Callithrix jacchus: one gene and its partners. The protein of the gene in region 6 purifies or fractionates together with the protein of the main gene of each other region. This does not show direct contact. Links are inferred from orthologs where the notes say so. Each region holds a gene or a part of one and is shown on either strand. Other genes may lie near its edges.

Evidence for each region.
Region 1: the proteins of SOX2 (region 6) and KHDRBS1 purify together in Homo sapiens (affinity purification with mass spectrometry; 3 studies listed by BioGRID and IntAct, with this or other methods). This does not show direct contact. The link is inferred for Callithrix jacchus from reciprocal best matches to the Homo sapiens genes SOX2 and KHDRBS1.
Region 2: the proteins of SOX2 (region 6) and UBR5 purify together in Homo sapiens (affinity purification with western blotting; 3 studies listed by BioGRID and IntAct, with this or other methods). This does not show direct contact. The link is inferred for Callithrix jacchus from reciprocal best matches to the Homo sapiens genes SOX2 and UBR5.
Region 3: the proteins of SOX2 (region 6) and HNRNPA3 purify together in Homo sapiens (affinity purification with mass spectrometry; 3 studies listed by BioGRID and IntAct, with this or other methods). This does not show direct contact. The link is inferred for Callithrix jacchus from reciprocal best matches to the Homo sapiens genes SOX2 and HNRNPA3.
Region 4: the proteins of SOX2 (region 6) and ARID1A purify together in Homo sapiens (affinity purification with mass spectrometry; 3 studies listed by BioGRID and IntAct, with this or other methods). This does not show direct contact. The link is inferred for Callithrix jacchus from reciprocal best matches to the Homo sapiens genes SOX2 and ARID1A.
Region 5: the proteins of SOX2 (region 6) and COP1 purify together in Homo sapiens (affinity purification with western blotting; 3 studies listed by BioGRID). This does not show direct contact. The link is inferred for Callithrix jacchus from reciprocal best matches to the Homo sapiens genes SOX2 and COP1.
Region 7: the proteins of SOX2 (region 6) and SSB purify together in Homo sapiens (affinity purification with mass spectrometry; 3 studies listed by BioGRID and IntAct, with this or other methods). This does not show direct contact. The link is inferred for Callithrix jacchus from reciprocal best matches to the Homo sapiens genes SOX2 and SSB.

The regions. Positions count from the first base shown.
Region 1 is NC_133508.1:68,626,829-68,631,273, forward strand, and holds the start of KHDRBS1 (KH domain-containing, RNA-binding, signal transduction-associated protein 1), read left to right. Parts: upstream 1-1,551; 5' UTR 1,552-1,684; coding exon 1,685-2,066; intron 2,067-4,445. UniProt on the Homo sapiens protein: Recruited and tyrosine phosphorylated by several receptor systems, for example the T-cell, leptin and insulin receptors. Once phosphorylated, functions as an adapter protein in signal transduction cascades by binding to SH2 and SH3 domain-containing proteins.
Region 2 is NC_133517.1:94,643,272-94,647,072, reverse strand, and holds part of UBR5 (E3 ubiquitin-protein ligase UBR5), read right to left. Parts: intron 2,820-3,801; coding exon 2,671-2,819; intron 2,222-2,670; coding exon 2,130-2,221; intron 674-2,129; coding exon 527-673; intron 426-526; coding exon 307-425; intron 223-306; coding exon 96-222; intron 4-95; coding exon 1-3. UniProt on the Homo sapiens protein: E3 ubiquitin-protein ligase involved in different protein quality control pathways in the cytoplasm and nucleus. Mainly acts as a ubiquitin chain elongator that extends pre-ubiquitinated substrates.
Region 3 is NC_133507.1:52,156,345-52,160,145, forward strand, and holds part of HNRNPA3 (heterogeneous nuclear ribonucleoprotein A3), read right to left. Parts: coding exon 3,644-3,801; intron 3,341-3,643; coding exon 3,251-3,340; intron 3,169-3,250; coding exon 3,073-3,168; intron 2,985-3,072; coding exon 2,907-2,984; intron 2,188-2,906; coding exon 2,044-2,187; intron 1,204-2,043; coding exon 1,081-1,203; intron 967-1,080; coding exon 914-966; 3' UTR 899-913; intron 807-898; exon of another isoform or gene 1-806. UniProt on the Homo sapiens protein: Plays a role in cytoplasmic trafficking of RNA. Binds to the cis-acting response element, A2RE. May be involved in pre-mRNA splicing.
Region 4 is NC_133508.1:63,387,277-63,391,077, reverse strand, and holds part of ARID1A (AT-rich interactive domain-containing protein 1A), read right to left. Parts: intron 2,620-3,801; coding exon 2,167-2,619; intron 1,141-2,166; coding exon 1,024-1,140; intron 1-1,023. UniProt on the Homo sapiens protein: Involved in transcriptional activation and repression of select genes by chromatin remodeling (alteration of DNA-nucleosome topology).
Region 5 is NC_133519.1:26,980,704-26,984,990, reverse strand, and holds the start of COP1 (E3 ubiquitin-protein ligase COP1), read right to left. Parts: upstream 3,052-4,287; 5' UTR 2,787-3,051; coding exon 2,380-2,786; intron 1-2,379. UniProt on the Homo sapiens protein: E3 ubiquitin-protein ligase that mediates ubiquitination and subsequent proteasomal degradation of target proteins.
Region 6 is NC_133516.1:9,953,627-9,957,990, reverse strand, and holds SOX2 (transcription factor SOX-2), read right to left. Parts: upstream 3,038-4,364; 5' UTR 2,584-3,037; coding exon 1,624-2,583; 3' UTR 494-1,623; downstream 1-493. UniProt on the Homo sapiens protein: Transcription factor that forms a trimeric complex with OCT4 on DNA and controls the expression of a number of genes involved in embryonic development such as YES1, FGF4, UTF1 and ZFP206. Binds to the proximal enhancer region of NANOG.
Region 7 is NC_133507.1:59,755,860-59,760,459, reverse strand, and holds the start of SSB (lupus La protein), read left to right. Parts: upstream 1-1,519; 5' UTR 1,520-1,759; intron 1,760-4,600. UniProt on the Homo sapiens protein: Binds to the 3' poly(U) terminus of nascent RNA polymerase III transcripts, protecting them from exonuclease digestion and facilitating their folding and maturation.

The DNA of each region.
Region 1 (4,445 bases), on a different chromosome or scaffold from region 6:
CTTTTTTTTTTTTTTTTTTTTGAGATGAAGTCGCGCAGGCTCACTGCAACCTCTGCCTGCGGGTTCAAGCAATTCTCCTGCTCAGCCTCCTAAGTAGCTGGGCTACAGGCGTGAGCCACTACGCCCGGCCTGAAACTTTTTAACTGTAGAGATGAAGTCTCATTATATTGTCCAAGCTGGCCTAGAACTGCTATCCTCAAGTAATCCTCCCACCTAGGCCTCCCAAAGTGCTGGGATTACAGGCATGAGCCAATGCACCCGTCCCCTAAGACTTTTGGAAAAGTGTGGGCTCATTAGGAGAAATGATCCAAAAGGAAAAGGGATGGGAGTCTCGAGTGCTTTAAATGGGAGAAGAAAAAAAATCTGTGGAGGGAAGGAAAAATTAAGGCACTAGGCTTTTGATGGTTTATGGGACAAGTAGGAACCTAAGGCTCCACTTGCATATAGCACTCTAGGATGTGGAGAACGCCGTTGAAGATTGTCCACTATGTATGTACCTTGGCCTTGAGAGTAGTGGCAAGGGTCTCTCTAAGCCAGTCTGGAATGGTAGAAGGAGCCATCCTAATGATGCAACCAACGTCGATTAAGGATCTGGTCTCTATCCCACTTTTTGACGGAAAAAACACTTAACTGGCAAGAATGACGGCTAAACAAAACGTTAAGTCACAGAAAGCAGTAAAATATGTAAAAAGAGCTAAAATGCTGCTTCTTTTAAGATTTCCCTGACCAGCAATGGCAACCGTTTTAGAACCGACTGCAATATATGTAATACTGGAAATATATATAACACTAGCAATGACTTCTCGTGTTCCCTGCTGTCTGGGGCCCTTTTCTTTGCTAGACTTCAGGTCTCTGATCCGAACCCTCCCTCTTAGGTCAAGTCCTCCAATTGCTTTTAGTGTTTCCACCAAGCCGTCCTTCTTCAATTTCTCCCTCCAGGTTTCCCTTCCCCATCTCCCCTGCTATTGCTGCGTCAGACTCTCCCTTAGTCTTTCTTTCTCCTTGTGCAGTCTCTGTCTCTCCCCCACCTCTCTTCCTCCCTAGGCAGCCTCAGTTCTCTCTCCCTTCCCTTTCTGGGTCTCCCACCGCAGTCTCCTTTTAGTTTCTCACTTCAGTGACCGCCCCCAAGCTACTCGCCTTACCACCCCACCCCATTGCGCACTAAAATGTCCGTGCCTTTCGGCCGTTGGAGGGCGTGGCCCGGCGAGTAACAGGTCTCCCGCCCCACACTCGGCGGGCCCGCGCGTAGACAAAGACATTCCACAGCCCCCGCCCCCTCCGCCCACTGAACCAGAAGGGGAAGGACCCACGTGTCCCGCTAGCGCCGAGTCACGTGGAAAAGGAAACGAACTGAGCCGGCAGCCTCCCGCGCATGCGCGCCAAATTCTGGCCTGGCGGGCGCGGAGGGAAAGCAGGAGTCGGGAGGCCACTTCTTCGTACGCCGCGGTGGTGCGCAGGCGCCGTGGCTGGACTGGGGACTTTGTTCTCCGCGGAGAAACCCAAGGGCGGTGCCGGTGACTGGCTGCGCACGCGCGCCGCCTCATTTCCGGTGCTCTCTCTCGCTGGGTCGCTAGGGTCGGCTTCGGTCGCTACCGCTCCCGCTCTCCCACCCCCGCCAACCGCCGCCCGGGCCTCCGCCGCTACCGCGTCGCTTTCTCACTCCTTCGATCGCACATCCTCCCCGATGCAGCGCCGGGACGACCCCGCCGCACGCATGAGCCGGTCCTCGGGCCGCAGCGGCTCCATGGACCCTTCAGGTGCCCACCCCTCGGTGCGTCAGACGCCGTCTCGGCAGCCGCCGCTGCCTCACCGGTCCCGGGGAGGCGGAGGGGGATCCCGCGGAGGTGCCCGCGCCTCGCCCGCCACGCAGCCGCCACCGCTGCTGCCGCCTTCGGCCACGGGTCCCGACGCGACAGTGGGCGGGCCAGCTCCGACCCCGCTGCTGCCCCCCTCAGCCACAGCCTCGGTCAAGATGGAGCCGGAGAACAAGTACCTGCCCGAACTCATGGCGGAGAAGGACTCACTCGACCCGTCCTTCACTCACGCCATGCAGCTGCTGACGGCAGGTAAGGGGGCCTCCCGGGTCCCTCTGGGTCGCCCGGCCATCCCAAGGCATGAGTGGCCCTGGCTTTGTTCCTCTCGCCTTCCGCCCCCTCGGGACCGAGGAAGTCGGGAGCTCCGGTCTCATCTTCGTTTTTGGGACCCTGGAGTCCACATTCCCACCTCAGTCTGGAGTGCGAGGGAGAATTTCTAGGCTGCAGTGCAGGCCCGAAGGCGACTTTGCGATCTCCTAGCGCTAACATCTTGATGGATAGTGCTGAGCTCCCCGCCCCTTTCCCGACTCTTCACTCCTCCCTCCTCCTGCGGCTGCCCCGCGCTCCGAGCGCGCAGATTCTTCCAGAAATGAACCTGTATTTCCCCCTTTCCCCGAGGGGGAAGCCTTTTTGATCGCGAGTGGCAATGAGCCCCTCGACCGAGGTGTGGGAGGTGAAGACAGCCAGAACGGGGGAGGGGCCGTGGGAGGAAAGGCCGAGGTGAGGTGGGGTGAGGCTGGAATGCCCTGTCCAGCGCGTCGCTGTCTCTGGGGCCGAGCCGGACTTAGCGGTAACCGCAGCTTAAGTTGCTGGGAGGAAGGAGCGATTTATGGGGATCGGAGCTTGAGGTTTTCGAATCAGATTTCCTACTAAGGCTGATAAAATAAGAATTGCTATACTGAGCTTGAAGGTTGTCTTTAATTTTACACCGTGGGTTCACCATTGAAGAAGGAGTGAAATAACCCTAGAGACGTTGAAATGGGACGATAGGGACTGCCGCGTAGTTCTCATGACGTTTCCCAACGAGATGGACAGAAATTGAGAGAAGTTGCATGATGCTTGTACTGAAAGTCTTGGTCTTTTTGTTGCTTTGTTTTACATATTTTATTCAGTAGTGAAAAAGAAATGAGTCTTTGTTCTGTAGATTAGCGCTCTTTTTCTGATCAGCATTGGCCAATCACCTAGTCGCCCTGATTTTTCCCTAAAGCTGTCTGACCTCCACTTCTAGTTAAAACATTATTTTAATAAATATTTCTTATGATACTTAAATTTTAGTATGCAAGTAAAAATTCCCATCATTCAACACTGAATGAGTGGTTGGACTCTATGGCAAGGTTAATATAATGAACAGTTCGTTATGAAAATATTACCTCCCTCCCTTTGTTCTGTCTCCCAACACTGTAAGTTAAGGGCTCTTTACCAATGTGGTGTTCATCTTTTATGCTTTTTTAAGATAACTGTCAAAAACTATTGACCCTTAAAAGTTCCCTGTAATTTTCAGTCTCCCCTCACTGCTTAACTAAGAGAGCGCTCTTTATTTTTAACTTCTGTTTTCTGGATGAATTTTTTTTTTTTTTCTTTAAACCAAACTGAAATTGGTAAGTGTGTTTGAGGTAATGTTGGTTCACTGAAAGAATGAAATCGGGATGTATGGATTCTTTGTGGCATTGATAAGTGTTAATGTATATTGAGCCTGGCTTTTTATTTTTTCTGAGACAGAGTCTCACTGTCACCCAGGCTGGAATGTAGTGGCGCTATCTTACCTCACTGCAGCCTCCACCTTTCGGGTTCAAGCGATTCTTCTGCCTCAGCCTCCTGAGTAGCTGGGATTACAGGCGAGTGCCACCATGCCTGACTGATTTTTGTATTTTTAGTAGAGATGGGGTTTCACCTCTTGCTCACTCTGGTTTCGAACTCCTGACCTCAGATGATCCGCCCACTTTGGCCTCCCAAAGTTCTGGGATTACAGGCGTAAGACACCACGCCCTGCCAGAGCCTGGCTTTTAAGGTACTTCTGAATTATCTTGCAAAGGAATTGCAGCGAAGTCACAACCCACTGTGAAGAAGTGAGACTTTGAGAAGATAGAATAGTAATATTTAAGTTCTAGTAAGAACAAATGGAAGGGCCAGGCGCCGGTAGCTCACTTGGGGAGGCTGAGGAGGGTGGATCACTTGAGGTCAGAAGTTTGAGACCAACCTGACCACCATGGTGAAACCCCATCTCTATTAAAAATTAAAAATACAAAATGAGCCGGGCATGGTGACACACACCTGTAATCCCAGCTACTTGGGAGGCTGAGGCAAGAGAATCACTTGAACCCGGGAAATGGAGGTTGCAGTGAGCCCACGTCTGACCATTGCACACCACCTGGGCAACAAAAGTGAAACCCTATCTCAAAAAAATAAAATAAAATAAAATAAAAACATGGAAGAAAAATATAGCTATATTTAATGTTTGGTGTCTGAGCACTTTACATTAAATTTTTTTTTTGAGACAGAGTTTTGCTCTTGTTACCCAGGCTGGAGTGCAATGGCACGATCTCGGCTCACCACAAACTCCGCCTCCTGGGTTCAGGCGATTCTCTTGCCTCAGCCTCCTGAGTAGCTGGGATTACAGGCACGCGCCACCGT
Region 2 (3,801 bases), on a different chromosome or scaffold from region 6:
AGACTTGAGGAGGAAGGAAAGACAGAATGAACGGTAAAAAGTCTACACTCACCTAGGAAATACATAAATCTGAAAAGGATTTAATGAATACATACGGGTCTTTATTCTCCTGGGACCCAAACATAATCATAGATTTCAAGGCATTCCAGTCCTGTAGAACACGCTCCAATGCAAGCTGGGCAAATCTTGGAGGCTCTAAATCATGATCAGGCATATCTGAATCTAAAATGAAAAAGAAGTAAGTGAGCAAAACAAAAATAAAACATATTGCTTCCCACAAGTTTCATAAATGTCTAATTTACTCACCTTCAGGACTGGCTGTTTTTCTATTACGATCTTCCCTGATGCGAGGTGGTCTGTACTGGCAATGCTCCACTGTCTGCCTTGCGACTGTCTGTACTAAGAATAGCAAGAGGTGCTCTCCCCTGCAAAACAGAACACTGCTGTGAGGAGGGAGGCTGAAAAGCTACTCTGGTGTGATGCACTTTTTTAACTTATTGCAAATTGTCCTAAAAATCCTACTTGCCTGCTGTTTGGCAGAGTGACCAGATTAGTAGCAGTGAGCAGGCGATAAAGTAGATCAAGACGAGCAGATTTCTGTCCAGCAATAAGAGTTTTACATTTACATTTCTCCCAACAATCACAGTAGGCTGTTGGTGACGTCCGTTTGAGTCTACAGAGAATTCATACACAAGTACAAAAACTGAATTTTTAAAATATACAATGGTTTATGTTAACATTATGAAGGCATAAATCACTGAAACTACAGAGAGCCCTTGTTAATTTCTAAATGCAAAGTATAACTGTCAAAGCTTATGTAACAAAAAGGATCACTCAGTGGTAATGGCGTCTACAAAGCAACTTCTCATTCCTATGAGAAGAGGTACTTTAAGACTCAGGTATAGGCCGGGCACGGTGGCTCACACCTGTAATCCCAGCACTTTGGGAGGCCGAGGCGGGTGGGTCACGAGAGATCGAGACCATCCTGGTCAACATGGTGAAACCCCGTCTCTACTAAAAATACAAAAAATTAGCTGGGCGTGGTGGCGCGTGCCTGTAATCCCAGCTACTGGGGAGGCTGAGGCAGGAGAATTGCCTGAACCCAGGAGGCGGAGGTTGCCGTGAGCCGAGATCTCGCCATTGCACTCCAGCCTGGGTAACAAGAGCGAAACTCCGTCTCAAAAGAAAAAGGAAAAAAAAAAAGACTCAGGTATAGCCACTTTTGCAATCTCTTCATGAACTCAAATGCCGTTCAAGTGGTCCTCCTGTATGCATCTAATGAGCCCTGTAAACCTACTGGCAGGTATTTCTTGCTTGTGGTCTCCCATCGGACTATGAACACTGTCAGGACTATTCATGACCACCCTGGCATCTAGTACACTTGGCAAAAAATCAATAATAAACAATTATTATACTTTTAGATGCTTAAAATAAGGAAGACAAAAATACCAACCAGAATTCTCTTAACAAAAATTATAAATAAGCAGTGCAATGTCCATTAAAATTTTTCACTTGTCCTATACAATTACTTAATGGCATGGTAGATGGTTTTTACAGTCCAATTCTCTATTAATTATAACATTTGCAGCCATTTATACTGATGTCCCTATCCATAATCCTAAAACATCCCAGATGTTAATGCTAGGGTATTTCGTTGCTTCTTAGGTTTGTGAAAACCAACAGAACTAGCTGTGGTAACTGTTGCTGAATGAAAGATTATTGCATTCAGTGTAACTAAGACACAGTTCAAACACTCACCTTGACTCCCTCAAGGCCTATGGCAATTTTCTTCTAGTATACCCTACTAGAGGGGGACTGAGAATTTGCTGCATAATACACTCAGGAACATTTGGTAGATCTATTTCTCAAAAGACTAATCTGATCCTAGGTACGATGTATAATCACTTACTTTTATTTAAGGAGGGCTACATTAGAACTAGCAAAGAAATCAAACATTTCAAAGTATACTTGAAATCAAGAATCACATATACACACAAACTGACTTAAACAAGGGAAATGTGATCTCATGCTTTCTGAATTAAAACATAGCTTAGTATAGATTTCCACAAAGCAATATAAATCTAAACAGTTCATAGTATGAAACTAAAGAAAACTAGAATTGTACTCACTTGCAATCATGACCTTTATGACAAACCCTTGCACATTCTGTACAACAACAAAGTGATTCCAGCAAGCCACAAGTTCGACACTCAAAAATATCCTAAAATTAAGAGTGTACTTTTAAAGGAATAATTAAAAGTATGCATATATCTCATCATCATTAATTATTTCTGGTATTTTCTGAAACAACTCAATCTCAACAAACAAAATTATGTGCTTTGGAAAACTAGGCGTTATAAAGAACTACAACAAATACACAGTTTATAACTGTATGTAAACAGAAAAAAATACACCATCCCCAAAAAGGCTTTACAGTTATAATATCTATATCAAAATTTGTCGATCAGATACTACCCAGTGAAAATTTTCATGATATGCCATATTTAACTGAGCAATCAGCTCTTCTGCCTCATTTACTTAGGAATTAAATCAACTTTCTTTATACCAGACCTAACAATTCCAAAGCTGAAAACTGAAAGTCTAGTGATAGTCATAGGGAAAAAAGACATAAAGATATGATTAATACCGAAAAATGTAAAAATAACTTACCTGGTTAATATGCTCTGCTCCAGTCCACGTAAAACTGCAAGTGTCATTACAACATAAGACATATAAAGGAGAGTCATCAGGGTTGGTACCTGATGGGCAAACCATTCCCATGAATACATCTTCCTCTTTTTCACTTGAGGATACTTCAGCTAAAAAAGTAAGAACACAGCAGTTCATCTCTCAGGAAAGGACTTAATTTTAATTAGCCATCCATTATCTTCAAATGGAAAGGCTTTAAGTGTATACACTATATATATATAAAATCAGAAATTATACATAGTTTTAAAAAGTGTTATACAGAGACAGCATGCAAATAAATTTAACCAATTCTGGAACAATATAAAGTAAAGCATAAAAATATCATGCCCGCATATGATGACAATACAAACACACTATGCATCAGCCACCTGAATCCTTAGTTCTGTTTCGGGCAGTTAAGATTCAAGTCCTGGCTCTAGTTAGCAAATTACAGGTCATATCATAAACTATCAGTGTTTTAAAAAGATAACTACTTTAATCTTTCAAAGGCTGGATAGTAAGAACTAAAAATCTTTAATGCTTTCTATTTAGCAGGAATTCTAAGTCATAAGTAACAACAAGACATCTATTATTCTTTAAAATGATATTACTTAACACCAATTAAGTACCAAGAAGTTCTATCAGTAATCCACCTTTATTTTCCAAAGATTTTACACTGTTTACATAATAAATATTTACATAATAAATATTATGGAATATTTATTTTTAAATCAAAAAATTTATATTAGCTATTTTTTTTTTCCCGCAACCTCTGCCTCCTGCTTTCAAGTGATTCTCTTGCCTCAGCCTCCTGAGTAGCTGGGATTACAGGTGTGTGCCACCACGCCTGGCTAATTTTTGTATATATATATATTTTTTTTTTTCTAAGAAAGAAAGGAAGAAAAAAGAAAAGAAGAAAGAAAAAAGAAAGCAAGGGAAAAAAAGAATGAAAGGGAGAAAGAAAGAGGGAGAGAGAACGGGAATCTTGCTCTATTGGCCAGGCTAGAATGCAGTCTAAAAATGGGTATGAAAAACCTCTGTTATGCCAATAAATGTGCTTAACAATGAAGACGAGAAGGAATAAGGGAGGAAAATAGCAAACAAGCAGCCAAC
Region 3 (3,801 bases), on a different chromosome or scaffold from region 6:
TCTAAACACAGCTAGGACTCAGCAAGTCTAACACACTAAAATCATGTGATTACATTTTAAAAGAAAATGCACAAAAACCAAATAGAAGTTTTGAGATATTTTTCATTTGAAGGTAATCTTAATGCTATTAAATTCACAAATGCTAATTTAAATACCCAGTCCTATTTACCTAAAACACACATTGCAAACACACATATATCTATTCTCTCCACATGTCAGTGCCCATTCATATTATGGTTTGGAAATGGGGAGAATAGATTCCCCTTAAACTGCAAGTCAGCAGGTGTTTCTTTACAGTTAACTTTAGCAAAATTCATACAAAATAGTAATTAACAATGATCTTCTTTACTTGTTAACTCACAAGGAAACACCTTCAAAACTGCATTTTGTTAAAGTTTCTGTACTAAAATGTAGAAAAACTGAACTACACAAATATTGAAAAGTTAAAAATTCCTTAATTTTTTATTCCTGGTACCACTACCACAATTTACAGGGCAATATACCTGATGTAATGAAAAGAAAAAGAAAAAGACAAAGCTACAACAGATAAAAGACCTCAGGAATGTACATCTAATTGACACTACATTGCATTAATCAATAGCTGCACTTTTTGCAAACTGTGGCTATGACAGTCCTGAACAAGAAGGGTTTCCTGTTTAAGCTGCAGTAACTTTTCTGACTATGGATCATCGCTCCTTCTGTGGCAGATTTTTACAGTTCCTCTAATGCATTTGGGACGACTGTCTCAAAGTAACCTGCAGCTTTCCTGACAACTCCTCGCTCTCTCTCCTGCTAAGAACTGTAGCCTGTTGAATAATACAGGATAAAAAAATTATTACACTCAGTGAACAGTTCCACATATTCTTTATCATCATGACAAAAATTTAAAGATACCTACCCTTTTCTGCTGCTTTTAGAACCTTCTGCTACCATATCCACCACTTCCACCACCAGATCCATAACCACCTAAAAATATATATAATAGATCCATAACCACTAAAAATATACATAATATCTTAAAAGAAGTATGCATTTTTTTTAAATTAAAGACTCTTAAAGAATGATTTAAGAAGTACTTACCACCATAGGGACTGCCCGAGCTTCTTCCACCAAAACTGCCCCCTTTCATGGGTCCATAATTTGATTGCTGTTGTCCACTATAATTTCCAAAATCATTATAGTTCCCACCACCACCATAGTTACCTGAAATCAGAAAGGGTTTATGTGTGGTTTACCCACACAATAATCATTTTCCCCTTTTGATGTAACTATTATTGTTTCACAATTATGGTAGCATGCTTACACACATCACTTTGGTAGCACCACTTGGAATAACTGATGTCAGCATATTGAAAGACCATCAACATTTTGTTTGTATTAGATGGTATTCTCTAGGCACATGTTCTTTCTACCATTAACACCATTGAAATTGTCAGTGTTCCACTCACTATGATGCTGCTGCAGTATAACATTTAAAACAATGTGAAGGCATTCTAACTTGTTAAACCTTCGCTCATCTGTCACTGACATGTTAATTAGGTCCAACAAAACAGGACACTCGTAAGGATCTTAACAGTATCCTGGAGTAATGACCTACATTAAAGCCTGCAACATACCTGTGACGTATTGACACAAAGTACTTTTTCTCTTACACCTAGATGGCAACCTGCTCACTTCAACTTGTCTCAGTATTCAAACAATTTACTCCCATTTGTCCATTTAAAAGTACTTAAAAGTTCAGTTTAAAAGTACCTAAGAGTCAAGGTAAAATTCTGGCAATATATAAACTCCCTATCTTTTACATGTATTATTACATACTGGCAAATGACCACTTTTAACTTCTCAACTAAGAGTTGAGTGTATTTTAGTAAACAATCAGCAAAGTCAAGAAAATTTGAATTACCCACCATTTTATTATTTTCTAATATTACAGAACACACAATTTTACCAACTGCTAACTTTTAACACTTGTCAAATATATGTCATGGGAACTGTTAGCAACACTGAATAGTTCACATTTAAATGAAAAAAGTGAATGCTTACCACCACCAAAATTTCCTCCTTCGTTGTAACCATCATATCCTCCACCACCGCCACCATATCCACCACCTTGGTTTCCATATCCTGGTCCACCACCACCATAACCCCCTCTACTACTATAACCAGGACCACCGCCATAGTTGCCACCTAAAAAAAAAACAACAAAAAATAAGAGCACACAAAAACATAAATGTGTAAAGAGTGAAGTTACTCAATTCTGGTGATTGTATGTTTAAGAAACCAGATCTTGGTCTGTTGCCCAGTCTCGAGTATAGTGGCATGACCACAACAATGCAGCCTTGAACTCCTGGGCTCATGCCACTCTCCCACGTCAGCCGCCCGAGTAGCTATACTATGGGCATGTGCCACCAAATTCCCCTATTTTTTCTAGCAACATGGTCTCCTGATGTTGCTCAGACTGGTCTCAAAATCCTCACCTCAAGTGATCCTTCTGCTCCAGCCTCCTGAATAGCTAGCATTACTCAATTCTGGTTTTATATTACATTTAAGCCACTGGCAAATAAGCCAATGAGTTAACACTCTGAAACCTGGTAATACCAAAAAATAATAGAATAGCAAGTATCTAGAGCTAGTAAGAATGAAAATAAATGCTTCAGTTTTCATTTTATCAATCTGCACTAAGAAAAATACAGCCCCAGACTTCAATTCTAGCTCAACTCCTAGTACTCTCTGAAAAAGACCAGTTAATGTTAAATCTCCAGGGGAAAAAGAGTCTCTACTCTTCTATGGCATTAGTTTGGAAATACGTCTTAACCATTAAGTCATTCAAGTTTTAATTAAAATTAGAAAGGTAGAATACTTAATTTTCCATAAGGTAAAGAAAGTTATTAAAATAAACCACCTACCATCACCAAATCCATTATATCCACCATCACCTCCTCCATAACTACCTCTGCTGCCACCACCTCCACCACCATAACCTCCTGAGGAAAAACAAGATATGAATTAAAATCATATATTTAACTTACCAAAACGTTAGGTACATATGTACTTAGAAGATAAACATCCTACCTCTTCCACCAAAGTTTCCACCACGGCCAAAATTACCTCCACCACCTCCAAAGTTTCCTCCGCGACCCATAAAATTGCCAGATCCACCTCCACGACCTTTAACATAGGCAAGGGAGATTTTAAGAATCTTACAGCCACCACTAAAATCTTTTGTGTACATGTGTATGATACTACTCACCTCTCTGTGATCCAGCAGACTGCATCTCTTGTTTAGAAAGGGCCTTTTTCACTTCACAATTATGCCCATTAATAGTGTGGTATTTCTGAACTACATTTTTTTTTTAATCAAACAAAACAAAAAGTTATTTTGTGTTTGGAAAAGCGCATATATATGATACCCTCTGTCATTATGTAACCCATTAAGACATAATCAGGTAGTGACTCTGGGAATGAAGGAGCATTCTGAGATGTTAATGTTTATTCCTTTACCTGGATACTGATTACAGAGTTATTGACCATACACTATAAAGGCTGTTACATGCAACAGAAAATTACAAGCAATTTGGCAAATTTAGTTCAAAACAGAGAAACCACTTTTTTCTCATTTAAGTTCCCATAAATTGCTACTTACCAACAATTTTATCAACTGTATCATGATCATCGAAAGTTACAAAAGCAAATCCTCTCTTTTTTCCACTCTGCCTGTCTTCCATAACTTCTATGGTTTCAATCTTGCCATACTTTTCAAAGTAGTCTCTCAAATTATACTCTTCCGTATCTTCTTTAATA
Region 4 (3,801 bases), on a different chromosome or scaffold from region 6:
TTCTCCCAGGTCAGAATAAATGAAGACACAGGCTTTAAATCCAGGTAGAGTCAAAATTCCAAAAGATTCTTATCTGGGTATGTGGCTGAATTTCCATTTCCTAAGTGAAGCAGGATTTGTCATGGTGAGTTTGCTATCCACCAACTTACTAGATGACTAGAGATTTCAGAGTATCCTATTTTATTTCTGTGCCCAGCAGATTAACTTTCAGAGGCTGAGTAACTTGCCCACAGAGCTAAGACTAACAGTAAAGGTTCCTAGAACCACCTAGTTGGTGTTAACTGCCTTTCAGATATGAAGCACAGTCCTAATGCCCTCTGAGGCGATGAATACAAAGGCTGACAATTACAGAGTGCCTACAATGTGCCAGTACTCGTGTGTGCTCTCTATTAACCTATTTAATGTTCACCATCACCCCCATGAAACAGTTAGTGGCAGTATCTAGAGCCAGGAGCTTAATCACTAGACTATACTGCCTTTCTCAGGATATGGTCAGTCCACTCCATAAATAAGTACCTAATTCCATAATTAAGCACCTGGGCACCAAGTACTATACTTCGAAAACAAAAAACACCTATTCACGCAAAAACCACCATCAGAAAAACTGCTTTTACTCCAGCCATGTGACAATGCATGCTGAATTGCCCCAGGATCCTACCTTGTGGCTAAAACATTAAGCCAAAAACCTAAAAATTAAGCCCTTAAGAGTAAAGTCAAGAGACTGATACTTTTCTCAACTTTGATATAGAGCAGACAGTGCTTCTAGTATCTCCATCTTCTCTGCCCCTCATGTGGGTCCATGTCTAAAAGCCCAAGATTTAAAAAAACAAACTAAACAGAACACAAGCCTATTCCCTGGGCAGGTAGACAGAATAGAGATCTACAAATCAACCTTTAAGCTTCCTGAATTCAAGAAACAACTTATTCATTTAGATCAAAATTACCAAAACTTCCAACCAGAAACTAGTTTGTTTTTGTTTCCTCTCTGCCCCATCACCTTTCAGAAGGTGCAGAAATACTCACAGGCAAGCTGGAGGGTCTTGACTGAAGGCTCAGGTTCATATCTTCTTGCCCTCCCTTACTGGAGGTCATCGAGGGGGCTGAGGATGCCTGAGACCCAAATGAATCTTGAGATAGCTCCTACAACAAGAAAAACAAAAGCTGTGATGGCCTGGTATTGATAAACCAGGCAAGCTTACTTCATGGTGAAAGCTTATTGGACTGTTTCTCATGAGTGTGAGTGAAAGCCCAATTGCAAATAATAGTATCTGAAGACCAGAAAAATCCAAGTCATGGCTCTAAAGATGATCAATAGTGGACTCTTTCTGATAGAACTGTCACCCATTTATTGCTACCTACAGAGGGCTATTTTTCGGGGTTAAATGCTAATGTCTGGTCAACTTCAAGTTAAATCTATCAAGGAATGAGACCAATGAAACCATAAAAATCATGCTAGAACCTCTGCATTAAAATGAGTACTGCTTCCTTCAAAGACATCACCTTGAGATACTTATTCCAACAATGCCACCAATACATAAACTTTTTAGTGGACCTGTCATCACTCAGTCATTTTTCTTCTTTGGGTTCTATAAAGAATAAAGCCCTGAATGCTATTTTAGGCTCTATTACCTATGTCTTGTTCACCAGACATAACTCCAAATGAATTTTTGGTATTTCCCCAAATCAAATCCACCCTCAAAAAATAAGATTTGCCACCACTGAGAATATGCTAAAGAATGTGATATCAGTTCTGGTGGCAATTCCAAAGGAAGGGATCCAAGTATTTTGAGTGATAGCAGAATGGAATGGCAAATGGACTGAATGTACGGTACTGCCTCTCAAAGTGACTGTTTTGAAAAAAGACAACTCACTTGGATGCTCAAGTTCTGATACTGATTTAACAAAAAACAACAAAAAAAACCAGTCTCATTATCTTTAATTTCTTATCCATCTATGAAACTTTCCATTGCCCTATTTCTTCATCATTAAGAAGAGCTATAGGTCTTTATGTAGTTAAGAAGGTTATGCCTTTATTAGTTCAATCAATCCAGTTAGCATGTTTACTCAGAGTTTAATTGGTCTTTAAGTGCAAGTTAGAGAACCACTTTGTATGGCAAAGTTCTCATGGTCACACACAGGGAAGGGCAGGAGGCAGCGATATCTTACCTGTGGCGGAGGGAAGCGCTGCTGGGAATAGGCAGTTTGCTGGGACTGCTGAGACTGGGGCTGAGGATATGCAGCCTGCTGGGAGAGCGACGAGGGTGCTGGCTGCTGAGGTTGCTGCTGCTGGTAGGGAGACTGAGCCTGTGGCTGTGAGTAGGGGGGCTGGCTCTGGGGGTGCTGCTGTGTCGTGGACTGCTGGGAGGGGTATGGAGTCGGGGACTGCTGATGTGGAGGCTGGGATGGCTGCTGGGAATATGGAGGCTGAGAGGGCTGGAGCTGTGGTGGCTGAGACTGCGGCTGCTGCTGATATGAAGGTTGGCCATGAGGGGTCTGGGATGGTGGTTGCTGGGAGTAGGGTGGCTGCTGCTGCTGAGGGTGAGGACTTTGCTGGTTGTAATATGGAGTCTGGCCCTGTTGACCATACCCACTGGGGCCTTGTTGTCCATAAGGAGGAATCTGTAGGAAAGGAAAAAAATACTTTTAGTACTGTCTCGCCTGAATGAGGAAACATGAAGTGTTTTGTCAGAGCTACATGCTAAGGATGAGTATAGAAAGTAAGCATGCCAGGCCCTATACTTAGGAGGCCCAAGGTTTTTCTCTCATCCCTGCCTAAACTGAGCCAAGGAAGATGGCCAAGCTGGGTTTTTAGGTGGTTTGTTTACAAGTGGACTACACATTCATCCACTGAAAATTTACACTATTTACCATCTGGGCAACTAACATGAGTTTAAGAGCAGCTGTTTCTACAAATGAGCCTACTCTTTTTGTCACAGCCTAGACTGTTTTTATAAGTGTTAGGAATCTGTAACCTAACCACAATGAATAGTCAACAGCAGCCTGGTTCAGCCAGCTGAAAACCTAAGGTTTAGTAATTCAGACTGTATAAATCACTAAGCTACTTCGGTTCTCTCTTTCATTTAGTCTTCATTCAAAAAAATATTTGAGAGCCTACTCAATTACTTGTACCAGGCACTATTTTAGGCACTGGGGATATATTTAGTAAGCAGGCAAAAAAAACAAACGAAATATTACCTCATCTCTCCTCTATTAAACGAAGAGACAATTTTCTATATTAAAGGGCATACTTTAAAGTCTTAGAAGTAAAATTTGATTTTATATTCTCTCCCTCACTATTTTCAGTGTGAGTAACATTCAAATATGAATGGCAGAAAACTTTGTCAACACAAAGAATGGCAATAAAGAGATAATGATGTGAATGGTCCGACAAAAGGAGATGGATAAGGGGAAATCTTAACATTTGTAACAATGAGGTTAACATCTTTTCTGTTCAATCTTCCCCTTTTCTTCTACCCCCAGTAACATTCATTTTGAACCAGATGGCAGATATGCTAAAGGCCTTCAGAAACATAAAGGGCCTCTTCTATCCACAGGGCACATGGTATGAACAGTTTTCTTAGTAGTAGAAGTGCCTAGGTGTTCAGCCACTGCCTTTCATCCCACCTCATTCAGAGTTCACCACTCACTAGGTATAAGCTGGCCAGTCAGATCAAGAGAAAAAGAGATATGTACCTGTGACCAGGGAGTAGCTTTCCTTGGAGCACACATGGGATGGTACCCACAGCAGTGGCTTTGTTAGTAGCACACTGTAATTAACTGAGCCAAATGGTCTACGTTCCT
Region 5 (4,287 bases), on a different chromosome or scaffold from region 6:
CATTTTGTCCTTACCTATCCAATGAGAAACAAAATTACTTCTCTGTGCTGCAATGAGAAAATAATTCGTATTGTATTAAAAGTAAGTCATATATAACATCACAGAATTGTTCTAAAGATAAAATAAAATGTGAATCAAAAACATACCTTTAAAATGTCCCACAAATGAGTAAGAAATTATCATTATTCCAACTTGGGCATCATTTAAATATAAAAGCATAGAATAATTTAAATTGGTTCACAGTTTGACTTTGGAGCATACAAGACAAGACCCAGGGCCAAATGAGGGCGGGGGAAGGGGGGAGTGGGGGGGGGTCGGATTCCTTGGACCTTGCCTAATCCATATCATCCTACACAAGAGCCTGGCCAAATTCAAACCTGGCTTGAGTTTTAAAACAGACTCTTATTAATTCTTCTGAATATTAAACCTCACCAGAAAAATAAGTAATTAACGAGATTCTTAGAAAGTGAAATACTCAGGGCTGCGGTGGCTCACACGTGTAATCCCAGCACTTTGGGAGGCCAAGGCAGGCGGATCACCTTAAGTCAGGAGTTCAAGACCAGCCTGGCCAACATGGTGAATCCCCGTCTCCTCTAAAAATTCAAAAAATTAGCCCGATGTGCTGGCAGGCACCTGTAATCCCAACTACTACTGGGGAGACTGAGGCTGGAGAATCACTTGAACCCAGGAGGCGGGGGTTCCAGTGAGCCAAGATTGTGCCACTGCACTCCAGCCTGGGTGACAGAGCAAAAGCAAGACTCTGTCTCAAATACAAATTGTAATAATCTTACCCTTTAAAAAAAAAAAGTAAGAATTTCCAATTCCCTATTGCATAGCCTACAGTGCACTGAAGTTCTTTATGGTGCCTGGCCCACAATGAATGGCATACAAGTCTCTTTTGAACGGCAATGATTGATTCCCTTATTTCTCATATCTTTCACACTATCTTTGTATACTTACATGGAGGCTAACATGTTTGTGTTCGTTAAGAATACTAAAAATTAAAATGCAAATAGCAGCTAAAAAGACAACTAAATTCTGCACATCCTACTTTGTTTTATTAGGCTTATTAGCCACTCTCACTATCGACTCTCAGACCCAACCATAAACTGATTATTTATAAATAACAATCACATTATGGCCCAAATGTTCAATGAAAAATATTAATTCTAAATCCAGAATAATGTACAAAAAAGCAGAAAGGTGAATAAAGACATTATTTTTGTGGAGGAACTAGAAACTGTTAAGTCTAATCAATAACTTTCCTAACAGTTCCAACTTCTAGCCCTATCATATTTAATAACACCAATTCAGACCATCTTCAACCCTGATCTAAATCAACTTTCCTCATTATGACTGTGCAAGCAGCCAACTTCCTACATGACTAATATTTGCTCAACAATTTCCTCAAGAGAAAAAGCACAAAACACTACCAGTTCTTAACCAGCTAACAGCAATTACTTCTCATAATCCGACCAACATCTAAAACTCAATAATTCCAGAACTCTCAAGCAAGACAATCGACCCGACCTTTCACGTAATGACTAACCCCTCTATCCCAAATGTCATGACTAAATACTACTCTATCATTCAAGATGCCAACTATGATGACAAAATGTCGATACCTAGCATTTCTCAAGTCAGAAGTTTCAGTATACTGTCATCCAGTAATTACAATTACATCTGACACGGGGATGTTATTTAACAAATGTGGTTCTCTCTTTTCAAGACACTTAGCGGAGAAGTGAAAAATCTGTTAACAGACTTTGACTACAGAGGTCTCAACAGCAGATTCCTAAGTGGCCCATCCTCAGAAATGGAAGAAGAGAGATATTTACACATACATACGATGGGTACTTAGTATTAAAAAAATGTATAAGACATCCATACTTATGTTTACAGCATCATCTATCAAACTTAAACAAATTTTGACCAACTCCATCCTCTGCATTCCAGGAAGCTTAGTCCTCTCCACTGACAAATTTAATTCATCTAAGTACTGCTGATTGACTGGGTGCTCAATTCATCACAGAGTCGAAAATTTTTAAGACCCAACGTCTTTGCCCAACTTTGTTATCCAAAACCATTTACTTGACCTTCCACCCTCTTCTATTCCCTCAACTCTCTTCACTTCCTCCTCAGCAACACTTACCTGCCTCTTTATTATCCCCACCCTGCGTGGACACTCCAACATTCCTACACCCCACCAACCAGGAGCTTGAATGCAAACAAACGCTCAAATCCCTCTACAGACACCACCACAGCACCAGTATCCCAAGCCCTCCAACAAGCCATCCCCACACCGGACCCCCCGCCCCCGAGCCTAGGCGGCAGAAACTCATAATTTAAGGACAAGAAGGCAATGCTCTTCAAACCCACCATACGAAGTCGTTGCTTTTGTCCTCGTAGGAGTTGATGAGCCCGTTGCAGAGGGGGGCGAGCAGAGGTCGCTTCCTGCTGCCGCTGCCTAGGCTGGAGCTGCTGCCTCCTACGCCGGCACTGGGCCTGGCCGCGCAGCTGTGCCGGGACAGGCCCGTGGACACCGCCCCGCCGCCGCTGCCCGACACGGCGGGCGCCACCAACACAGGCCGCACCGGGCCCCCGAGGCCGCCCGAGCCGGCGGCCTGGGCCGCCCCACCCGACACCGGCGCCGCCGCCGAAGCCGCCACGGAAGGCGGCGACGGGGAAGAGGATAAGGACGAGGAGGCGGAAGTCACCGAGGAGGCCGCCGAGGAGCCGGGGCTTGTCCCAGCGGAGCCCGACCCGGCCTGGCGGCTACCAGACATCGTGACTCCCTCCCCTCCGGCCGGGCGCTCGGAGGAGAGGGACCGCGACCTCGACCCTCCGCCGACTCCCCTCCCCTCAGCCCCAGTGCATCTTAAGGACGCCCGCCGCGCCGGGAGGTGGGGCTGAGGAACAATAAAGTTGCGTTTTTTTAAGGCAGCCACACCACGGCGTCCGACGGGAGGGGGCGGAGGAAACTAAAAAAGGGGAGTAGAAGGCACAACAGCTGTCCAGGCCGCCGCCGCCGCCGCGGTCCCCGCCGCAGCCAACCCCGGCGCGCCGTGGCCGACCGTGCGCGCGCGCGAGCGGCGGAAGGGGCGGGCGCGGCGGGGTATACAACTGTGGACGCAGCCGGGCTGCGCTAAGACACCCACGGCGCGCCCTCGGGGACGGGGCTCCCGGGCAAAGGGAGTCTCTCCGTCCCAAGCCGTTTTCTTTCGTTACGTGCCAGAGGGCAGGCCGTCTTAACGCAGTGAAAGGGCTGAGGAAAGTAGAATGAATGATAGAGGTGACGGAGTGGTTTCAAAGACGCTGATGTAGGGGTAGAAACCCTCAAAAAGTGGCTGCGCACGCGCGCGCCGAGCGTAGAAGCTCACGGGTTAGCCAGGGTATCCGCCCCAAGCGGAGAATATCCGCGCAGGCGCAGAGCGGCCGGATCACGCAGGCGTACGAACGCACCGCGTTCGCGAACTGGAAGGAGCTGTGTCTGTCTCCTGAGGAGTAGGCAGGTGCTTCCGAATCGCGGAATGAAGATGCTGTAAGCAGGAAACACACGGAAAGAACCCAGAAGTTTCGAGCGGTTGCAAACAGCACTGCATTGAGCCAACGCCTCCTCCTCTACTGAAGGTGATTCCACAGCTTTTTGAGGAATAAGTTAAGATGAAGTCAATGAAGTTTTCTGCAAATTGCAAACATTGTAGCAGGTGTTACCAATTTTACTAGTTCGACCACGACTTCACTCCTGTATTTTGAAAAGCTGTTTGCCACATTGAACATAACAATAATGGGAAAACAGATTTTACTCAGTCTGATATAATTCTAGCACGAAACAAGGAAACCTAGCATTTAATACCACCCGAAAATATGCTATTTCTGGTAGGCTTTTTTAGAATATTGAAATTTGATTATAGGTGGGCACGGTGGCTCATGTCTGTAATCCCAGCACTTTAAGAGGCGGAGGGTGGTGGATTCATCTGAGCCTAGGAGTTGGAGACCAACCTGGGCAACACAGTGAGAACTCGTCTCTGTAAAAAGTACAAAAAATTAGCTGGGCATGGTGGCAGCAGGCCTCTAGTCCCAGCTACTCGGGAGGCTGACATGGGAGGATTGCTTGAGCGGGGAAGGTTGAGACTATAGGGAGCCGGGATCACACCACTGCACTCCAGCCTGTGGGACAGAGACCCTGTCTCACAAAAAAAAAGAAAAAAAAAAAATTATTTGCCGCATTCTAAGGGGTGGAAGTCAGAAACAACTAAACTGTGTGATTTAATCATTCTCAATTCA
Region 6 (4,364 bases):
GCATGTCTAGTTTGCAATTATTCTGATACAAGAAGCATCATTTTTCCCTATAGACAGGTTTCAAAGGGCCATTGTGCTGTGAAGAAAATGAAAACAAAACCAGCCAACCTGGTTCTGATTTGGCTCAATACCCCATCTGCTAAACTACATGAAAAATTTCAGAATTGGATCCTTTCTGGCAACAAGTGGCATAAATCAGTTTTCAGTTTAAGTCCCCATCATGCTTATTCATGCTGCTTAGAAAAGGAGGGGGCGGATTTACAATATATGTCTCTAGTTTCTATTTTAGAAATGACAAAATTTTCAATTTTTCCAGTACTTATTATTCATCCAGCCGTTTCCTTTTCGCAGTTAACATTAGCACACGAAGCTGGACTAGTAATACCGAGGATTTTTGGTCTTTTGCTTTGTCGGCTGAGCACAGTAAGATAATTCCCCGAGAAGTTATGTATAATCACAGTGTTAACCAAATAAATGAAAGACTCAAGAATAATTTCAGTGTCCATATTTCAAAAATTTATTTATCTCAAACTGTGCATAATGGAGTAAAAACTTAAGTTGAAAATGTACCTGTTATAAGGATGGTATTAGTTCAAATATATACATGGATTCTCGGCAGACTGATTCAAATAATACAGAGCCGAATCTTTTTAAAATACAGCTACGGAAAATAAAGGGGGAAAACCTTAAAATATCACAATAAATTTACAGAAATATTACAAACCATAAGAAAATATTTCAAACACAGTAATTTCATGTTTCTTTTTTATCTGAACAAAATGGAAAGTTGGGATTGAACAAAAGCTATTATAAATTACCAACGATGTCAACCTGCATGGCCATTTTTGCTTTTAATAGTAAGTTATAAAATTTAGTACAATCTAAAACTTTTGCCCTTTTAAACAAGACCACAGAGATGGTTTGCCAGTACTTATTCTAATTTTTTTCCTTTTGTACAATTTTTAATTCAAATGTCCAAATTTTAATAGTTTTCTTCTCTCCACGTTTGCAACTGTCCTAAATTTCAGCTGCAGAATCAAAATTCAACAAGAAGCCTCTCCTTGAAAAATATTGGCAAATTCTCAGCTTATAAACAATGGACATTTTGATTGCCATGTTTATCTCGATAAATACTGTACAAAAGTTGCTTGCAAATATTAAAACATTTTTTTCGTCGCTTGGAGACTAGCTCTAAATATTATTGGTAAAGACTTTTGCAAACTTCCTGCAAAGCTCCTCCCGTACCACTAGAACTTTTTAAAAGTTTTTCGTAGCTTTCTTTCCTCCAGATCTATACAAGGTCCATTCCCCCGCCCTCCCCACCCCTCCCCCCTGGTTTTCTCTGTACAAAAATAAGTCCCCAAAAAGAAGTCCAGGATCTCTCTCATAAAAGTTTTCTTGTCGGCATCGCGGTTTTTGAGTGAGTGTGGATGGGATCGGTGTTCTCTTTCGCAGCTGTCATTTGCTGTGGGTGATGAGACTCTTCTTTTTTTTCCTTTTTCTTTTCGAGCATACCGGGCTTTCTCCACGCAGTTTCCGACTCTCCTCTCTGCACCCCTCCCCCACTGATTCCCCTCGCTCTTGTCGGAGAATGCCTCCCCCGTCCAGTTCGCGGTCCGGCCCTCACATGTGCGAGAGCGGCAGTGTGCCGTTGATGGCCGTGCCGGGCACCGGGCCGCTCTGGTAGTGCTGGGACATGTGCAGTCTGCTGGGCGCGGCGGGCTCCGGCACCTCCGCGCCGGGGAGGTACATGCTGATCATGTCCCGGAGGTCCCCGGCCTGGCAGGGCGCCCTGGAGTGCGAGGAAGAGGTCACCACCGGCGGGCTGGAGCTCGCCTCCGACTTGACCACCGAGCCCATGGAGCCCAGCGCCATGCCGGGCGTGCCCTGCTGCGAGTAGGACATGCTGTAGGTGGGCGAGCCGTTCATGTAGGTCTGCGAGCTGGTCATGGAGTTGTACTGCAGCGCGCTCACGTCGTAGCGGTGCATGGGCTGCATCTGCGCCGCGCCGTGCGCGTTGAGGCCCGGGTGCTGCGGGTAGCCCAGCTGCTCCTGCATCATGCTGTAGCTGCCGTTGCTCCAGCCGTTCATGTGCGCGTAGCTGTCCATGCGCTGGTTCACGCCCGCGCCCAGGCCGGCGCCCACCCCGACCCCGCCGGCCATGCCGTTGCCGCCGGGCGCCAGCAGCCCGCCGGGCAGCGTGTACTTATCCTTCTTCATGAGCGTCTTGGTTTTCCGCCGGGGCCGGTACTTGTAATCCGGGTGCTCCTTCATGTGCAGCGCGCGCAGCCGCTTGGCCTCGTCGATGAACGGCCGCTTCTCCGTCTCGGACAGCAGCTTCCACTCGGCGCCCAGGCGCTTGCTGATCTCCGAGTTGTGCATCTTGGGGTTCTCCTGGGCCATCTTGCGCCGCTGCCCGCGGGACCACACCATGAAGGCGTTCATGGGCCGCTTGACGCGGTCGGGGCTGTTCTTCTGGTTGCCACCCGCCGCCGCCGCCGCCGCGGTGGGGTTGCCGCCGCCGCCCCCCGAAGTCTGCTGCGGGCCCGGCGGCTTCAGCTCCGTCTCCATCATGTTGTACATGCGGGCGCTGTGCGCGGGCCCGGCCCGCCGGCGGCCGCCGACCCTCCTCGGCCCGGCCGGGACTTTGGGGGGCCCGCGGGCGGGGGGGCGGAGGAGGGGAGGCGGGCGGGGGTGCCGGGAGCGCGGGACTCCGCAAGGAGAATCAGGCGAGGAACAATTTGGGGGCAAAAAAGCGAGAGAGGCAGAGGCTGGAATCAGGATCAAAAAAAAAAAAAAAAAAAACCGCGCGTTCCCTCCTCCTCCGGCCGGAGCCGCCGCCGCCGAGGATTGTTATGGTTATTTTTTGGAAAGGCTTAAGCCCGGGGCTCAAACTTCTCTCCTTTCTTTCTCCTCTTCTTTCTCTCCGTCCCCGTCTTAAAGAGGCAGCAAACTACTTTCCCCCTTTTGCAAACACTCTCTTCTCTGCCTTGACAACTCCTGATACTTTTTTGAACAAGTTAATAGACAACCGTCCATGTGACGGGGGCTGTCAGGGAATAAATGGGTTTCCCGCGACCAATCAGCGCGCGGCGGCTCCTCCACTCGGGCCCGGCCTCGCCGCCGGGTTTTGCATGAAAGGGGGCGGGGCCTCGCGGGCCGCCGGCGCGGGGGCGGGGGCGGGGGCGGGGGAGGGGAGAGGGGGAGGGGAGGGGATGGGAGGGGCGGCGGGGAGGGAGGCGGCTCCGGGCCGGCCTGCCAGCCACTGAGAAACCTTTGTATCCCCCTCGCAGCAACAGGTCACGCCACACGCCTTTTCGAAGGAAGTGGGTAAACAGCACCAAGACTACGTGGGTTTTTTCTTTTTTAAACTTAACACTGATTTACTTTTTGGTGCAGGGTGCTGAAGTGAGGATGGGACGCGGGGGGCAGCTAAGGTGCGGGGGTGGGGCAGGGCTCAGTGGGTGGCTCGGGGCGACGGTCCAGCTCGTGTTTCTGGAAACCGCCAGTGCAAGGCTGGGTGTGTCATTGTCCCGCCGCCCATTCGCGCAGTGCCCCCAGCTCCTGCCCCTCTGCGGCTCCCACGCCGCGCGCTTCCTCTCCCCTCTTCCCCCGCAGGTGCCGGCGTTCCCGCACGCCCTTCAGACAGGGTCTCCACTAGAAGTTAGGAGACTCGAACCTCGGTCCTCAAAGCCTTCCTTGCTTCCACCTAACGTGCTCTGTTCTTAAACATCAATCCTGGTCGGACCACGAGGCCGACTCCAGAGCTGGGAACCCGCAGGCCTTGGGAAGCTGCCATCTCTCTGTCCCACTCAGCTCTGGCCCAGGAAACCGCAGCTCGCCTTCTTACTCCCAGCCCCAACTCCCACTGGCCTGTCTCCAGTCAACCGGAGCAAAGGGGATGCTCCTACGCTCTCCCCCCCGTTCCCCATTCCCACCCCAGGCCTCCCCCAAAGAGGGGTTTCAGTCGTGCGGGTTTCAAATGGGGGCTGGGGAAAGAGAGAGAGACAAACGGAAGGGCGCTCCAAAGTGCAGGATGGGGGAGGGTAACTTCAACTTCCTGGCATCCCACGGCACTGTGCGGAGGTGGCATTTGGGCCCCAGTCACAAACTCCCTCCCACGCAGGGTTCCCTGGGCGCCAGCAGAACCAGCCCTGGCATTTCCCTCGTGGGTTTCCACCGTGGTGGCCGCTGAGGGGCTCCAGGCCTGGGAGGCGGGGTCCAAGCTCTCCAGGCACAGGTGCAGGCAGCGCACGCAGGGAGCAGGCGGCCGGCACTGGGGCGCGGGGAGCCCGGCGAGGCCCGGGTTAGAGGAGGCTGAGATGGGGGCGGGGGTAGGGGCTCAGGAATCTTGCCTGCCCAGG
Region 7 (4,600 bases), on a different chromosome or scaffold from region 6:
TGTACTGAACAGCCCCATCTGGTGGACACAGGATTTGTGTTATCGACTGACTTGAACATTACCAAGAATTCACCATTCCTGGCATTTGCAGGTGTTAATTTCAGAGAGTTGGATACTCTACTCTCTGTACCAAATACAGTAGAGCAAACCCAGCTTTGAGGCAAGGACCCCTTGAAGTAGACATGCAGTGCTTTTGTTATGGTTCCCGGAGCAAGTCTTTCTCATCCCTGCCACCTCCTGGCCTCCTTGTAAACCTGAACTGCCAGGTACCTCACTTTTCTTCACAGCCAGATAGTTTTTAATGTTAAATTGGTGGAGGAAATGGGTGAGCCACTGCTTGCTCTTACGTCCGGGTGCTCGGTCTTCAGGTAGTATAGCAGCCACATGGCTTTGGCCCGCAGGAGTAACTGGCCCATCCCTAGTGTCCCCCAAGATGTGTCCTCCAAAGAAGCCAGTCAGGAAGAGGGGATGCCCGCTGTGGTTGTAGATGGGGAAGGTGATGCTGCTTAGGTCAAGGGTTTTGTCCACCTGCCAGGCATGCAGGAGTGGGTTGGGGGACACACAGAGCATCTGGTACTTCAGGGACAACTGCTCGTACTGGATCTGGCTTCCGTTTCCCTGTGGGACCTGCAGATCCTGCATCACGCTGTGTAATTTACTGACGTCAGCAAAGAAGTCTGGTTCCAGCTATGAGCTGCTGTGGGAGACCACCAGAATGGAGGCGAAATTGGCCTTGGGGCTCCTCCTGGAGAAGTGGTAGGAGTCGGTGGTGGTGAAATGGCCCTGTAAGAAGCCCATTCAGCCTTGGCCGGGCTGTCAGCGGCTGTACACGGCTCCTCCAGGTCTTCTTGTCCTTGGGCAGGTAGAGGAAGCCGGAGCCCAGCGCAGCCGGCAGCATCATGGGCGCCAAAGGAGGATCATGGGTGCGGGCCCACCTGCCACCGCAGCCACTGGTGGGTGCGGGACAGCTGGCCCTTCAGGCGGTTGGCGTGGCAGCGGCGCGGGTCGACGGCGACCGACTCAGGGTTTCGCGCCAGCAGGGATGCGTCCTTCCCCTCCCACGCCGGGGTGGCTGCGGCCCCTGCTCCAGCAACGGTTGCCGCTCCCAGGGCTGCCATGACGCCCAGCCCCGTCTCGATTCGGTCCCTGTCCCACACCCGGAGCTCCACTGGGCTGGACGCAGACCTCGAACAGCGCTGTCTGGGCTCCGCCCGGCTCCGGTTTCCCTTCCGATTTGGACCGACTCCGCTCGGACTCCCGGCTCGCCTCAGGCCAGTTGTCCAGTTACTCTTCCTTGGCGCCGACTCCCGCTCCCGCTTCGCCCCAGGCTCTGGTCCGGCAGCCCCGATACCTTAGAGACCAGAAGCTCATTTCCAGGAAGCACAGGCTGGACATCAGGTGAAAAAGCAGCTGTGGGGCGCAAATCTCCACCCCAACCGACGGTTTCCTGGAGACGTTCTAACGGAGTCTGCTAGAGCTCCGGCCACGCGCCCGGAAGCGGAAGAGGCGTTGGGAGCACGTGGTTGGCCTGGTAGCCCAACGAATCTGAAATTTGTTTGAGGCGTGCCTGGGCTGTCAGGGGTTCAGCAAACACAAGGAACGCTTCTTCAAGGCCATCAAACGCGTGCCTCTCCTACGGAACTCACAATTCATTGGGAGAATTTGGGTGTTTCTCCCACACACAAATGGCACAGAAATACCACGTGTCCTGACTGACAGATTTTTACCTTTCTTGGGGTTCACCCAGTAGCAGTTTCAGGTAAGGCTTTTGTGAGACTGATACACTTATCTTAGTTATTATTTTTATTCTCTGTCCACAAATGTAACATGTGCATACATTCTCCTTGTGAAAGAAGTAAATGTATATTGAGAAAAGTGGGGGAAAATTCTAAACTTTTTTATCCCATTCCTCTTAAAGGAAGTGTTAAAAAGTGGGTCTACATCCTTGCAAACCTTTTCTATGCAATAAATGCATATCAAAGATATAGCAAATATACCTTTTTCATAAATGTTATTGCACTATTCATGTTATGCAGATTATATTTTTCATTTACAGTGGCAGAGGATTTGAATATGACAGTGCATATATATTTATCTTATTTTTTTAACTGCTCTATACTTTTTCAGTGTACAGATGAAACATAATTTCACCAGAATCTTATTGATGGACCCATAGATGGTTTAGTCATTTACTTTTATAAATAGTGCTCAGTGAATGAATGTCTTTCATTTAACCTATACACAGGAACCATATCTGTGAGATAATTTTTTAGAGTGGATTCACTAGGCCAAAGCGTAGGTTCTTTTAAATTTTTGAGCTACTGAGAAAGTAAAATACAAACAAGTTATATTAATTTATACCCTCATAAGCAATATATGAATTTGCCATAGCCTACCCCACAGTGTCAGCAAAGTGTTTGGTTTGTGCCACTGGTATCTTACTTTGATTTAATTTTGAATTTATTGCTTAGTATCTTTATCTTTCCTTTTTGAGTGAACTGTCATATCTTTTGTGTGTCAATTCAATTCAGAAGTTTTCCTTTTGGATTGTTGAAATTTTCTTTTTGGTTTATAAGAACCATTTATATTTTAAAGAAATGACCACTTTTCTTGTGATTAGAGTTACAAGCTTCTCCCCATTTTGCTTATTGGCATGGCTTATTTTTGTAGTTCAATTAATGAGTACCTTTATGAGTTTCAAGTTTTACTAGAAAATTTAAACCAAAGTTGTGACCAATAGAAATTATCATTACTGGTGGGTATGGTGGCTCATGCCTGTAATCCCAGCACTTTGAGACCAGGCTGGGCAACATAATGAGATCCCAACCTTAAAAAAAAAATTTATTAGGCCAGGTGTGGTGGCTCACGCCTGTAATCCCAGCCTTTTGGGAGGCCAACCCAGGTAGATCACCTGAGTTTGAGACTAGACTGGCCAATGGGGAAATCCTGTCTCTACTAAAAATACAAAAATTCAAAAATTATCTGGGAATGATGGTTCATGCCTATAATCCCAGCTACTGGGGAAGCTGAGACAGGAGACTCACTGGAACCCAGGAGGCAGAGGTTGCAGTGAGCTGAGATCGGGCCACTGCACTTTAGCCTGGGGCATGTCTGTAATCCCAGCTACTGGGGAGGCTGAGGCAGGAGAATCACTGGAACCCAGGAGGCAGAGGTTGCAGTGAGCTGAGATCACACCACTGCACTCCAGCCTGGGCAACAGAGCAAGACTCTGCCTCAAATTAAAAAAAGAAAATTAAACATTAGCCAGGTGTAATGGTGCACAGCTGTAGTCCTAGCTACTCAGGAGGCTGAGATGGGAGGTTTGTGTGAACTCAGGAGGTGTAGGCTGCAGTGAGCTATGATTGTGCCACTGCCCTACATCCGGGGAAACAGAGCAAGACCTTGTCTCAAGAAAAAAAAAGGAAAGAAAACAGAAATTATCATTACTGCCTTGGCCGGATATAACTGCAGTCTTCAAGTATATTTTGTAGCTTTGTATTCCCTATTTGAGTTTTTCATCTTGCATACCTGTAATATTTTGAAAAGTAGTTCTAACTGGGCATCTTTCCATAGTGACGTCCGCCTTCTATGAAGCTCTGTGCTTTTATTCCATATATTATTAGTAAATAAGTTCATGGCCATTACAGTGGATGAGGTGAAACTTTGAAATTTGTTTTCAGTGAGGAAGCTCAAAGTTTGACAAGAAAACAACTGCAAAAATATAACAAAACACCTGTGGAAGTAGCACAGCATCCTGGCTCATAAAATCAGGATCGGAAACCATCAGGCTTCTTTCAGTTTCTTTTCCCTTTCTTGTCGATAAAAACCAAACATTTAGGCCAGGCACAGTGGCTCATGCCTGTTTTCCCAGCACTGTGGTAGGCCAAAATGGATGGTTTGCTTGAGGCCAGGATTTCAAGACCAGCCTGGGCAACAGGGCAAAACCCTGACTCTGTAAAAAATACAGAACATTAGCTGGGCATAGTGGCATGTGCCTGTAGTTCCAGATACTTGGGAGGCTGAGGTGGGAGGATCATCTGAGCCCAGGAGTTGAGGCTAGAATGAGCTGAGATCACACCACTGCACTGCAGCCTGGGCAGCAGAGCAATACCCTATCTCAACAGCAGCAGCAGCAGCAACAACAACAAAACAACCCCAAACATTGAGAATAATTTGAGATGAGGGAAAGGAGAGCCCCTTGCCCAGTTCTCCAGTGGCCTAGTGTCCTTATCTTGTACAGCAGCTTTACTTCCAGTCTTGGGACTACTTAGCAGTCAGTTCTTTGACTGGAGAACTGCCTTGCACTTTACCAGGCTTTCCTTATGAGCAGATAGTTACAGGTTAGTCTACAAGACATCACTCCTCTGTTCACATCCCTGCGATGACTCCACATTTCACTCAGAGCTGAAGTCAAAGTCCTTACCATTATATGCATGTGTGCTACAGCAGACTCACAAAAAGATGGGCAACCACAGGCCCGGGTGAAAAGTCAGAGAGTCTGGTTTCAAACAGGAAGATGGGATCACTGGATACTGTGACAATTGAGAGTCTCTGCCAGACATTAAAATGCCGTGAAGCCATTATAATTGAAATTCTGGGC